Astyanax mexicanus: one gene and its partner. The protein of the gene in region 1 purifies or fractionates together with the protein of each later gene. This does not show direct contact. Links are inferred from orthologs where the notes say so. Each region holds a gene or a part of one and is shown in the gene's direction. Other genes may lie near its edges.

Region 1 (6,870 bases):
ACCCCTGGACCCCTTTGGAACAGGGCTATAGTTGGCAATGGTATCATCAGGGATTAAAACCTGCAATCTCCTGATTAAACGGCCAGAACTTAAGTCCCTTTACTCAGGAGCTCTCTAGAAAAAGCAGCTCAAAACTGTCACAGGGTGATACCAACAAGCGTTTTTGTTGATTTTTAGTTTACTACAAAACATGAATACACAAACTGTCCCTTATACTGTGTGAAAATTTCTTGATGGATGGACCAAAAGAAATTCTTCTTTATTGCCTGAAATTAACTCTTTTCAAACTAACTTCCATTGAAAGTTGGAAAGGTGGTTTCATATCTCTCTTGTAAAATACTAGTTTTTCATTGGATAGCACTCTGTACAATAGTTCTGTCTATTTCTGACAGTGTACCATGTTTACCTCTGTGGCTTTCCTCACCTATAGGCAGGTTTTACACATACAATTTCTATTTGAGCAGAGATAAGTGTTGACTTCTGATTTGCAGCCAACATTTTAACATGACAGGTCCTGTTTTGACTAATAGTCAGTAAAAACATTATTATCTATATAGTTAACATACAGTTTTGCATGGGTTAATTGGCCAATATTGCAGATTTGAATGTAGCAGTCACAGAATACGTGTTTTAAAATATGTTATTGTGCCATCTCAATCCAGATCAATCTGTTAAGGCACACCAACATTTAACCTTTATTCATAATATGAAAGCCTGGCGTGTCCTCTATGTCTAATTACAGAATTACAGAGTGTATCTGTGGTCAAGTTACACTGTGACTTTCATAGAAGAGTGAGGGGCAGCTTCTCAAACAGGGATAAAGCCTAGTTATAGATTATACTTAAATGGAATATCTCAATTCAAGATGTCAAAGAAGGCTTAAACTGCTAATTTATAACCAGAAGTAGGCCTGAACTTGGATTAGCTAAGGTAGCATTCTCAGTATATACTGTATATATAGTGTTCTCACTGTAGCTAAAATGCTCAACAAATATGGGCTCAGGTCCAAAAGGGTACGGGGTAAACAAATGACACGTACCTTCAGAAGCACGAAGAACTCGAAAATCCTCCGAAAGGACGGTGGGAATAGCCTGGCATAGGTGACTGCCATCTTAAAGAAGAGGGCATGAAAGAGGCGGTCCCGCACGTTGATGAGGGGGTTCTGGTTGATGTTCGGGTTGCGGATTCGGTTCGGACCGCCATTGTTGTTCAACGGCACGTTGTTGTTGTTTAGGTTTCCCTGGTTGTCTGACATGTCTAACGCCAGTCCCACGAGTTTAGTGCGAAAATTTGATGGCCATGTAGGTCAGACAGGGAGCGACATACGCAGATACTGATAATTAACAGTACTGCCACTTAACCTAGTTAACTAATGCTAGCTAGCTACCTAACTAACAAATTAACGTGGGTGGCTGTAATTAGCTAACCTGGGTTTGCTAGTTAACTGAGAAACATTAGCTATCTTAGTGTGGTTATTTAGCGCTAGTCTGCTAGCTTGTGCACTACAGTCTGTGCATGTACTTTAACTAACGTTATAAACTGCACCAAATTTCTTAATAATCCAGCCTACGTCGTTTGACTGAGCTAGCCCTAGTTATCTTGGATATGTGTGTCTCATGACATCGCTACGAGTTTGCTGGCTTGTAAAAACAAGCTCAGTTAGCATTAGCTAACCTAGCTACCGCTAACTACTGAATGGGGGCATGTCACACTCCGTAGACGTTGTTTTTTTAGTCTTCTTCTGTTTTTATTTCGGTCTATCCTTAGCTAAATAGCTTTGTCAGCCTTAATAAGATGAACAACACCGAACTAGCGTTAGCTAGCTTAGCATACGTGCTAGCTAGCGCTAAGTAAACTGTACCTGGCCCTACTACTCTACTAACCCAACTAACCAGGCGTTAGCTAGCTACGCTAGCTACAACCTCGCTAGCTCACGTTTGCTCCATTTACCACTAAGCTAACTATCTTAGCTAAGCTAACTGATTTAAATACTCCAGGTCAATTAACAGAGTCTGTCAGTGTTGCTGAAATGTAGCTAAATTAAAAAGAGCTAACTAAACTCGATGCCACTTGCTAGCATAGCCCGCTAGCCTGTTGCTTATTAAACTAGCAGCTAACCTAGCTAGCTAGGCTAAACTACAGTTCAGTCTGACGTACAGCTAGCTGCACACAGAGGCCGTATGATCTGCTGCTCCTCAGATCAGCTTCTCTATTAAACACAGATCCTGACACTCACTCTCCCTCTACCGCACACGGAACCGTAACGACGCTAAATACAATCCCACGGGATTCCTCTCCGACAGAAGCTGCCAAGAACTTGTATCCTCTCGCTGTGGTCCCCCTGTTTACACGACCCTTTTCTAATCAAGGCGTACTTGGGTACTTCAGGAGTGACGAGAGCGAAGAAAGTGAGCGGTTGGCAAAGACAGTCATGCCGATGTGTTAGACCCGGACTCAGCGGCTGATCTCAGATACAGCGCCACCTCTACGCGGGACGACTACAAACACACCTGTGGCAAAATCGCCTAGATCCTCAGTTAATCAATTTGATTCTACCCTTTTAAAACAATGGTCTGTGTCAAGAGCATGAATTATTAAGGTAATTTATTATGCGTCAAGTCAAAACAAAATGTGACGTTAATTTTAATAGCCGTCCTTCACTGAACTAATTTCCACAGTTCAGGGCTTGTCCCCAGTTTGGTAATTAAATTAAATTAAATTATATTGATATAGCGCTTTTTACAACATTTGTAAAACCACACACAGTGCACCACAGTGATGCCAACAGTAACAAGGAAAACCCCCCTCATACTAAGTGGAAGACACTTTAGGATAACATGGTAGGCTAAGATGTTTATTAGATTTTTACTATAATATACAGTTTACTTCGTTTTAATAAAGACTTTGGGCTATAAATATTGCATAGATGTTTACATTTATTTTTTAATTTTATTTTTTATGATTTTAGTACGGTCAACACATTTATTAGTTGCATTGTTACCATGTTATTACAATTGAGTTATTATAATGATTTAATTACTATTCTCGTGTGACTTAATAACAATGTAGTTAAATCTTTATATTGAATAGAGAACAAAATGAAAATTAAAATATATCACAAAAGTTAATTAAAGGAGTAGAAACCTAATTTTAAACAACTATATAATGTCAATGGATAAATACATAAAATGTTTACCAAAAATTAGACATATAGAATTGCACCAAATAAATGACATTTATTTCAGACCTTTAGTAACACTTAATACAGCCCACAATTTAGTGTGTAAATGTGTAAGTTCAAATAACTTATGAGTACATACAAGATACAAAAATAAAGTTAGGGAGGTAAATAAAAAAAATACACCACATGTTTTGGGAAATTGTTATTTTCTTGTTATTGGTTGGGCTTTTTTGTTGTTGTACATGCATTTAAGTACCAATAAGAACCGGCACGTATTTTATATGTGTAACGGGCTTCTTAGTGTTACACATGTATAGGCTCATACAGGGATTATACCATACATTTTGGTAATTACATACTAAATGTCGGAAAATTGCCCAATTGTTCCACTATTGCTACTGTATTTTATATGTGCTGGTTCGTACTCGGGTCCTACTCTCTGGTTCCTGGTTATCCTCATTACTTTATTCGTAGCTACATTTAAGTAGCAGTAAGACAGACCTTGTAAATATTTTGTAAATACTGGTTCATACAGAGAAGTTACGGGACATTTTATTAAGTGTTACCATATATTTTATGACATAGATTATATTTAGTTAGCTAGTTAGTCTGTTAGCTTAGTTAGCTAACAGTTAGTGTTTCTGTTTATGGTTAGGGTCGTTACACTCCTGGCCGGTAACGGCGCTCTGACAGGTCAGTGCTGGGCGGAGCGCAGCGCTGCAGAGGAAGACTCATACACACAGCAACAGCGCTGTAGTTCACTGTATAATCTCCATACACAGAAACTTTATTTTAGTTTAACTGTGTTGTTTCAGAACCGTGTGGATTGTACATATTTTTTCTAAATACGTCGCTTTTTCCCCCTCATTTGTATCAAATTTGGTGAGATTTTGCGCTTTGTTATGACGAACTGGTTAGCTAAATAAGCTAACAAGCTAGCGTTAGCTGGCTAGCTAACAAGCTAGCATTAGCTGCTAGCTAACGCCGGGCAGTAGAGTCTATTGAATGGCTCTCTGTTCACTTGAGCGTTTGTATGAAACCCGGAGACATTGGAGGAGTATATCTATCTTAGTTAAATCGTTAATGTATTAATAATGGAGGTTGTGTATGTGTGCGAGTGGGAGAAGAGACCCAAAAACAACCACTGCCCCTCCATCCCGCTGGTGTGTGCCTGGTCCTGCAGAAACCTCATCGCCTTCACAACAGACCTGAAAAATGAAGAGGACGATAAAGGTAAGAGGAGTCCTTATACTAGTGCTCTCTGTTATCCTCTGTCTAATATAAAGTGTAGTTAGTTATATTAGGTTATATTCTACACTTTATTCATTTATGTCTATGAATTTTAGCCAGTGTACAGAACTTAAGCCTAACACTATGTTTGTGTCTACCACTTTTAGTTAGCTATGCATATTTCAGATCCACTGAACATACTACTGCATTTCAGAAAAATAAAATATCATTAAAAAGTTGCCTTATTTCAGTAGTTCAGTTCAAAATGTAAAATTCATATACAGCTCTGGAAAAAATTGAGAACACTTTCTTTGATTTTACCAAATTGAAATCCTCATAAAGCTATTCAAAAGCACTGTGTAAGACTGGTGGAGGAAAACATGCCAAGATGCACGAAAACTTTGATTAAAAAGCAGGGTTATTATTTTTATTTTAACCATTTCTCATTTTCTGCAAATAAATGCTGTAAATGACAATATTTCTATTTAGGAATTTGGGAGAAATGTTGTCCGTAGTTTATAGAATAAAACAACAATGTTCATTTTGCTCAAACATATACCTATAAATAGTAAAATCAGAGAAACTGAAGTGGTCTTTTAATTATTTCCAAAGCTGTATTATATAAATGTTTTATACACAGTAATCTATTATCTATAGTTGAAGATGATGACAAAAATCAGTATCTCAGAAAATCAGAATATTATATAAGACCGATTGGTACTTGTGGCGGTGTGGGCAGTGTGCCGAATTCTGCTGCAAAATGAAATCTGCATCTCTAGGAATCATTAAGTGCTGTAAGATTTTCCGGGAAAACATTGCACTGATTTTGGATTTGATTTAACACAGTGGACCAAAACCAGCAGATGACATGACTATCCAAACCATCACTGATTGTGGGAACTTCACACTAGACCTCAAGCAGCTTGGACTGTGTGCCTCTCCACTCTTCCTACCGATTCTGATTCCTTGAGTTCTCTGATCCCTTGATTATTTATAGCAATATTTTGAGCATACACACAATTGTGCTGCACATAATCCAGTTAAACATTACTGATTAAACTCTCTGTAATGTAATAGTGATGCTCATCAGTGTTCTTTTAGCAGTAATGTCATCCAAATATGCTTCGATATCACAAAAATTGAACACAATGCAATACAATGTAGAAAGAAGCCCTCTTCTATTGCACATACAGATGTTACATATTTTATAATATGCAATAGTATTGTGTTATTTGTATTAGTTGCTATTTACTGGAAAGATTTATGGGTTGTTTTTGTTTAATTGTTTTGCACTTTATATGCATGCACTAAATATTCCACACTTTGGTATTGCGCTAGATTTGTTGCTAAATTTTTTTGTTGTTACATTGCTTATTTTGTTATATATTTTTTGTACGAAACCTGAGACTTCATCATTTATTGGTTTGCTCTGTTGAAGCTGTTTTCTTTTGTGTATCATGGATATATATTTTTTCCCCTTAGTGCAGTCTAAGTGTTTAACATAGTACATTTTTTGCTTTAGAACTCAGTCACATGATTCATATCATTGACACTGAACACCCCTGGGATGTCTACTCCATCAACTCGGGTCATAGGGAAGTTATTTCGTGCTTGGAGTGGGACCAGTCAGGTAAGTTAACCTCACTGTTTAAAATTTAATTGTAAAACGGCCAATATTTTTGCATTCTCTCATATATACATTTTTTTCTAAATGATCTAATATTGCAAAAGATTAGCACTGTGTGCCCTGATAGGTGAAATTTTAGGACAAAGAGTATTGTAATGATGTTCACTCATTTTAGGGCTGCAGTATATTCATATCTAATTTTTGCCTTCATTCATTAAATTGTGTGTAACTAGGATCCAGACTGCTCTCTGCTGATGGGGACGGAGAGATCAAGTGTTGGGCAATGAAGGAACACCTTGTGAACAGCTGGGAAAGTATACAGAGCAGCTCTGTTGATGGAGACCCTATTGTAGCTCTCTCATGGTTGCACAATGGGGTCAAACTTGCACTGCATGTGGAGAAGGTAAGAGCAAGAAATTTACCCACATTTTTTAGTATATATTTTAGTATAAGGCACACTTAAAGTTCTTTAATTAAAAAAAAAAATGTCAGTGCACCTTATGTATGAATTCTACCAGTCAGGTTGTAAAGAGCAGTAAAGCCACTCCGCTAAAGTACAGCATTATAGTTTAGTTTTATAGTTTAGTTCTCCAGCATCTGAACTCTTTAAACTTTATGAATATGAACTAAAGGCTCTGCCTCTTTTTTATTATCTCAGCCATTTCTCATTTTCTGCAAATAAATGCTCTAAATGACAATATTTTTATTTGGAATTTGGGAGAAATGTTGTCTGTAGTTTATAGAATAAAACAACAATGTTCATTTTACTCAAGCATATTCCTATAAATAGCAAAATCGGAGAAACTGATTCAGAAACTGAAGTGGTCTCTTA
Region 2 (7,121 bases), on another chromosome or scaffold:
GCACTCAAAAACTTTCTAATTTCAAAAACTAATTTCAGCAAGAACCACAGCAGCTAAACTCCGCTCGTTACAAGATGAATCAGCACCTCCATGCCTACAACCACATTTCATGCTGTTGAATAGGGGGCAGGTCTTTAGAGGTCAGAGCACAGCTGGAGGTCACGCTCCTCCAATCAGGCCACAAGGAGGAGTTTGCTCGGCACAAGGGGAAAAACGTGACTTCCACATGGCGCAGTGCATTGTATTTCCAAACCCTGGTCCTAGAGCAGTTACACACTGCACAATATTTAGTCTCTACACCAATCAAAACATAATTTTAGCCTCAAGGAAAACTTGTTACACTGAATAAAGGCTTTGACAGAACAGAAAACACTAGAGTCTAAAAACAAGCAGTCAGGAACCACTGGAAAAAGCAGATAAAGCTAAAAATATAAAGACAAACAAGTAAAGCTAAGTTAACCTAGATCAAAGAAAAACTCAAGCTTGCTCAATCATATTATTCTGTGAAACTGACTTTCTTTAAAGCTCCTTCTGAGAAACTATTTTGTAAGCACCTAATGTTACATACTTCACTTCTGTGTGAAATGACATTGCACACTGCAAATGCACATTTTAAGATTCAGATGTTTTATCATTGTATAAAAAACATTTTTTAAACATATTTTTCAATTTAACCCCAAACAGACATTTACAAAGGGTAAAGAATATAACTCGACAAACATTCAGGTCGGTTGAGCCTTGATCGTGGCTCTATATGACTATACACTATTTGTACTGAAATGATTAGAAGCTCTATGAGCAATATATGACATTAACACACATTTTGAGATCCGTCTTACAGTTTTAACACTCATTTTAAGGTGAGTTTCATTCATTTGGAAAGCATTCTCTCAACTCTTGGGTATTAGCCAGGCTACTGCAGGTGCTGTAAATCGTCTGTGTGACAGGTTGGCACTGCGGCAGTGTCTCTCCAGTTCTTTTTCACCCCAGCACTTCTTTAACTCTCTGTAATACATTTCAGATTATCTTTTGCTACGTAATGTTTGTCACTTTTTATGCGTCTGTTTTGCTTTTGTATTGTGCTAGTTGTAATTCATTTTTTACTGGTAAAACCTTAAATTGCATACGTCTTTATTGCAAGTTTTATCTGCTATTTTTTTTAGCAGTAACATCAGGTCTCCAGATCTGAGGCCATTCTGAGTAGCCATTTTGCCAAGATGACATACCCCGAGTGTAAATTTGACTGGTCATATGTTACAATTAACTTGCATGAAATTGCACTCTGTCTGAAATAGCAAAACTATAGATTTTAACATCAATAACATTAAATTTATTATAGTACAAGTAAATTTTTTAATTAGTACATATTTATCTATTTATATTATAGAGATTTAAACACATATCTGAAATACAGTTCTAGCCAAAACATTATATATATTTTGAATTAGCATTTGTTCTAGTCAGAATAAATTTACAAATATGTGAACCTGGACTTTTTTACCAGACAGAATTTACCTACAGTGGAGATATCTGGAATTACAACTCTTACCAGCCAATGAGTAATTACATATAATTGTAACTTCTCTTCTAACTACTAAAAGAGTGAAATTTTAGTTCGAAACGGATGGTAGAACATGCCTAGTCAGAATTAAATTACTAGCTAATTTTTAATGTTTAACATTCCATAGCTTATCTCTGTAATAGAGTCGCTTCTAGTAAAAAACGACATAAAATACCTAAATGTTCTTTATTACATGTTTTAACATGTCTGAGTTAATATCTGAGTGTCAGAGTCTGTCATTTGAGACTAAAACTGGGGGGGCTTCAGCCGAGGCAGCAGGGCGCCACCACCACCACCACATGCTCCACAGGGCCCACGTTTCACTCAACACAGATTATGGAGCGCAGCACCTCTTCACCCCTCTAAATATAAAACTCCTCTGCGTTATTTTTCTGATGATAAACCTCTAGAGAGACAAATGGAGCATGTGTTGTAGTTATGCTGCCTGTTAAGAGTATTGGGTGCAGGTTAGGTTAGCTCGCTTAGCTTAGCTACGTCAGTGCAAACAGAGCAGCTAGTTAGCCTGGTGGCTAACGCTAATGGCTCGCGCCATACTGTATTAGCGTTAGCTTGTCGCTAGCTAACTAACCTAGCAACCGCACAATTTCCAGGGTAGCTAGACAAACTTAGCTATGTACGTTGATCTGGCATTTTTTTACATTTAGAATTTTGTAATTAAATTAGGATAAATAAGGCCAAACCCGTGTTAAAGGGGAGGTTCGGATAGAACTGCGTAGTGAAATGAGAGCCGTAGCGAGCTTAGCTAACATTTTTTTTTCATTGTCATTGAAGATAGTTATAAGAAGATAGTTATAAAACCAGCACAGACTACTCTTTAGTAGTTTAGGGTATCAGTGATCAGATCAGAGCGCTGATTAAAGCGAGGCTGAGCTGATCAGGGCTGGAGCTATTTGCTCCGTCGTTACTGCAGCACAAATGAATGAGTGACTGACTGACTGACTGGAGGGAGGGGGAGGGACGCTGCCATACTGAGCCACAGCAGAGAGACACAGAGAGATACGCACAAGTTAGCCAGCTATCTGATCATCTAAATCACCAAACCAACCTTTTAACAGAATCATACTGTTCAGTTTTATGTCTATTTTATATGAGCTGACTGACACGCGTGCCAAAGCCTAGAGCATTAACCCAGCTCCTCAGCTAACCCACAGATCTATCTGGTTATCTAGCTTCATCCACACATCTCGCTTTAGAGAATTCGCCCCCAAACCTCGGGATGGTGCGGAGGTCCCCGGTTCCTTTGGTCTCGTCCTGCCGGGAGAACCACACCTCCAGCAGCTTCTCGGTCCCCTCAAAGAAGTGTGCACCGTTGTCCTCCATCGTGAGACAAACAAGACACCAACAACAGAAAAAAAAATAAAAAAAAATAAACCTAGCTCGGGTCTAGCTTATTAAAGTCCTTTTTGCTGGGTAGATAACTTATAGAGATCTTGGTACAGTCCTTGAGCAGTCCGGGTGTTGATTTCTTGGGATGCTTTAAATGATTTTTACCGTCTTCCCCTTTTACAGAGAACACCGTGAGCGAGTGCTAGCTAATATCGCCGGCCATACTGTGTAAGCGCGGACTACTGGGTGCGCGGAGCTTTTATAACCTAGCCGCTGACGTAAAAAATAAGACAGACCAATCATACATAAAGTCCCGCCCTTAGCCCGCATAGGATTGGCCAAGGTTTCTGCCACTCCGAGGACAAGCGTTGCGTAAAGGCGTCTTCTCAAGGCGGGCTGCAGTTCTGACAGCGCAGTGAAGAAGTTTGATTCAGTGAAGTAGTTAACCGATTCAACAAAACAGTCCACTCAAAAGAACCGATTCAGTTGATTTTAACGTACTTCAATTAATACGGCACAATTTTAGCAGTCCAATTCTAGCTTAAAAAGTATTAAAGGTATTTTTGTATTGTCCTAACCTTAGGTTATATTACACACACATAAATACTGCGCATATCCTACAAAAGAATCATGGGAATCATTTCGAGTGATGCAGACGCATAAAAAAGGCAAGCAGCGTTGATAAGAGTAAAAGGACAGTTTAAAACACAAACACAAGACTGTTTTTCACGTAGACACAGAAAAAAGGGAATGTAAATCCAGAAAAGGCATTTTTTATTTACAAAAAATGCGCAATATAATTCCCCTGGGTAAACTCGAAAATTCTTATTTATAATGTTATGACAGTCATATATAAATACAGTCTTTTGTGTAGTTTTACTGCAAAGAGTGGCTGAACAGTTTTTTTTATCACATTAAATAGCATTATAGGGAATGGTTTCCATTCCATTGTCTTAGTTTTATTGTCTCAGTTTAAGGGTTCGGCGCATGTGAGCAAAAAAACAAATAAAACATACGATATGCAATATGAATTCTCTCCCGTCCCTGCAATGTTTTTTTTTTCTGAGAGCGCGAACATGACTACGCAAGTGCGATCACCGCGGCGTGCTGTGCGGATTGTAGTTCCCGCAGCGCGCTGATCTCACGGCGCTCGGCGGGCCTCCTGCTGCGGGAAGACTACATTTCCCAGAAAGCGTTTCGCACCAGCAAAAAAACGCTCAACGAGCCAGTGAACATTAAGCGGAGCAGACCAAAATCCCAAACAAGGAAATGGTGGGGGAATAAAGCGATCAGATTATTTAATTAATGCACGTAATAATTAATATTTTATTTTATCCTAAATTAAGAAGTATTTATGGGTCGCGATGGACTACGACTTCAAAACGAAGCTCGCCGCGGAGAGGGAGAGAGTGGAGGATCTGTTCGAATATGAAGGTTGCAAAGTGGGTCGCGGCACCTACGGGCATGTTTATAAAGCCAAGCGCAAAGACGGGTAAGACAGCGAGCTAAAACGGCCTGCTTTCACTCATTTCTCCGCTCCACGCGCACTTTCTCCTTCGCGAGGAGAAGCGCGGAGGCGAGTGTGTGTGTGTGTGTGGTGGGGGGTGTAAGAAACCGAGCTCGAGTCTGGGACTGGTTTTGTTTTTATACACACACACGCGCGCGCGCACGCACATCTATAAACACACACACACAAAACGGTCCTCCCCCCAGAACGACACCGCGCTGCTGCTGTTTATTTTACAGTGTGAACGTGAAGTGAAATACACTACAGCTCAGAGGGGATGACTGTCTCTCTGCACGTGAAGCTGTTTTACAACGCAGGGTTTTACTCTGGAGTTGGAGCATTCATGCCTCACAAGGCTGTCCAATAGGAGTGATCCCTGCCTCGCTCTTATTGGACAGTCTCAGGCTCAGGCTTTGAGTTATCACTTGTCTAAATGTGCAATACTCGAGCTGCTTTAGTAAGAAATAAGAAAAAGCACCAGTCTTGGTGTCAAAAGCAGGACTTAACGTCTTTAAAGTGTGACCGGAATTATCTGATTTTTTAATTTTTAAATTTTATTTCTATTTTTGTCCGATACATCATCTCAAAGACGCCTTGTGCTGCGGACATCACCCCTTGAAGTGATGTGGGGAGAAAGTGCAAATACCCACCCAGAGAGAGCAAGGTCAGTTGTGCTCTCTCAGGGCTCCGGTAGCCGATAGCAAGCTGCATAAACAGGATTCGAACCAGCAATCTCCTGATCATAGTGACAGCGCCTTAGTCAGGAATTATCTGATTGTAATATAACTACAGGCTGGAGAGAGAAGTTTCATTGTTACTGTTAGAAGTCTAAACTCAGCAGCAGTGTTAGAACATGTTATAACTACTGATGTGTCCAGATGCTGTCATTCAGTATTCACTGGAATAGCTAAATGGATCATAATACTGTCTAGTTCAGGGGTGACCTACCAAACCCTTGTAGAGAGGTTCAAAAAGATTTACAATTCAAGATGAACTGGGCCATGGTTTAGTAGATCTGGACCAAGACTACCTTTTTTGCGGGTCCTTTGGTTCCTTAAATCTGCTATTTTTGTTTGGACCAAACTGGCAAGTCACTTTAAGAAGGACTGAGCTGTGATGGCTAGATGACCTGTTCAGAACATCTATAGAGAGATTGTCAAAAAGCTTTTGTTTTGTTATCTTGTGGGTAGTTATGCTTTTTACACAGGTGGGTCGTGATGTGGAAAAGTTTGAAAACCTCTTTTGTACAGTTTTAGAGTGTCCAATACACATACTCAAGAAAACACATTATATTGAATCAAGCATTCAATTATTTATTGTTTCTTCCAAAATCATGGGTATTTAAAAGAGTTATTCTAGCTTTTGCTGAAGTAACATTCTCTCTTTTGTGCAGGGAAGGTGTATCTACTGTCAGAGATGTACCTACTAACCACACAGCCATTCTGGTGATGACACTAGTGTAACATAAACCTAGTTAAATGAAACTCAGATAGTAATTACATGTTACTTAACTAATTATAACCATAATGTGTACAAAGCAGATTCCAAATAAATGCAACATTTTAAAAACTAACATTAGAAGCCCATTAATTGTAAACCCCCTCTGAAGATGTTCTTTTCTCTCTCTTAGACTCTCAGATTTATGTTATTTAAACAGACAGCTAGTTTCTGTTTAAATATCATCATATTAAACATCTAAAAATAATAATACATACACTGAGATGTCTAAGGCTGATAAAGTTATCTGCTATATTTCATGTAAATGCACTATATGGACAAAAGTATTGGGACACCTGCTACTTTATTGTTTCTTCTAAAATTAAATTTAGCGTTTTTTGGAGTAATTGTCTCTACTGTGCAGGGAAAGCTATCTACTAAATTTTGGAGTGCATTCAGCAGCAAGAGCAGTATTGACCTGAGGTTGGATGATCACCAGTCTACTCCATCCACAGCTCCCCACCTCATCCTTAAAGTACTATATGGAGATGAGCTCACACTTGACATGATATGACATGATGCCAACAGGTTCATTTTTATCGGCTCCAGATAAACAGTCCTATTCCATTGGCAGTAGTTCTTTACATGGACTAGACTGTGTCTGCATTTGCTGTGACGGCAAAGGATGCATTATTTAGAAACAGTGTTTACAAACATTCAGACATATCAAAATCTGAAAATTCCAATGATTCTGATATACATCAATTGGTCATATAATTAAAAGCACCTGTTTAATATTGTGTAGGCCCCCCATCATTCCTCTAAAAACATGTCTGACCCATAAGAGCATTCACTGTACAAGACCTCTGTAGGTGTTCTGCACCAAGGTGTTTAGCACAAAGACTAACATTAGCAGGATCTCTTTTTAGTCCTTGGTTCACTGATTGTCCTTCCTTAGAGCACATATGGTAGGTGCTGACCACTTCCTGCTGGCAACAATCCACAAGGTCTACCTGCTGTTTTGGAGATGTTCTGACCAAATCATCTGGCAATCACAGTTTGGTCCTTCTTAAAGTGACCTTAAAGTGCTTTCACACTTGCCCTGTTTGGCCTGGGCTTTTGGACTTCTCAGTTTGGTCCAAACAAAAATATCAGGTGTGAACAACCAAAGGACCAGTCCAGAAAAGGTGGATCGTCTACATTGTGAAAACACGTTTCTAGATGTTTCAGGCTTTCGGATCAAATGTATGCGATGACTAAAATGACAAC

What was found. The genes of interacting proteins can lie anywhere in the genome.
Region 2: the proteins of med16 (region 1) and cdk19 purify together in Homo sapiens (affinity purification with mass spectrometry; 6 studies listed by BioGRID and IntAct, counting the BioPlex papers as one, with this or other methods). This does not show direct contact. The link is inferred for Astyanax mexicanus from reciprocal best matches to the Homo sapiens genes MED16 and CDK19.

The regions. Positions count from the first base shown.
Region 1 is NC_064423.1:18,118,083-18,124,952, forward strand, and holds the start of med16 (mediator of RNA polymerase II transcription subunit 16), read left to right. Parts: upstream 1-3,869; 5' UTR 3,870-4,275; coding exon 4,276-4,414; intron 4,415-5,933; coding exon 5,934-6,041; intron 6,042-6,271; coding exon 6,272-6,441; intron 6,442-6,870. Other genes in the region: tmem259 (membralin), read right to left, coding at 1,040-1,255. UniProt on the Homo sapiens protein: Component of the Mediator complex, a coactivator involved in the regulated transcription of nearly all RNA polymerase II-dependent genes.
Region 2 is NC_064408.1:47,104,182-47,111,302, reverse strand, and holds the start of cdk19 (cyclin-dependent kinase 19), read left to right. Parts: upstream 1-4,119; 5' UTR 4,120-4,272; coding exon 4,273-4,400; intron 4,401-7,121. Other genes in the region: amd1 (S-adenosylmethionine decarboxylase proenzyme), read right to left, coding at 2,793-2,902.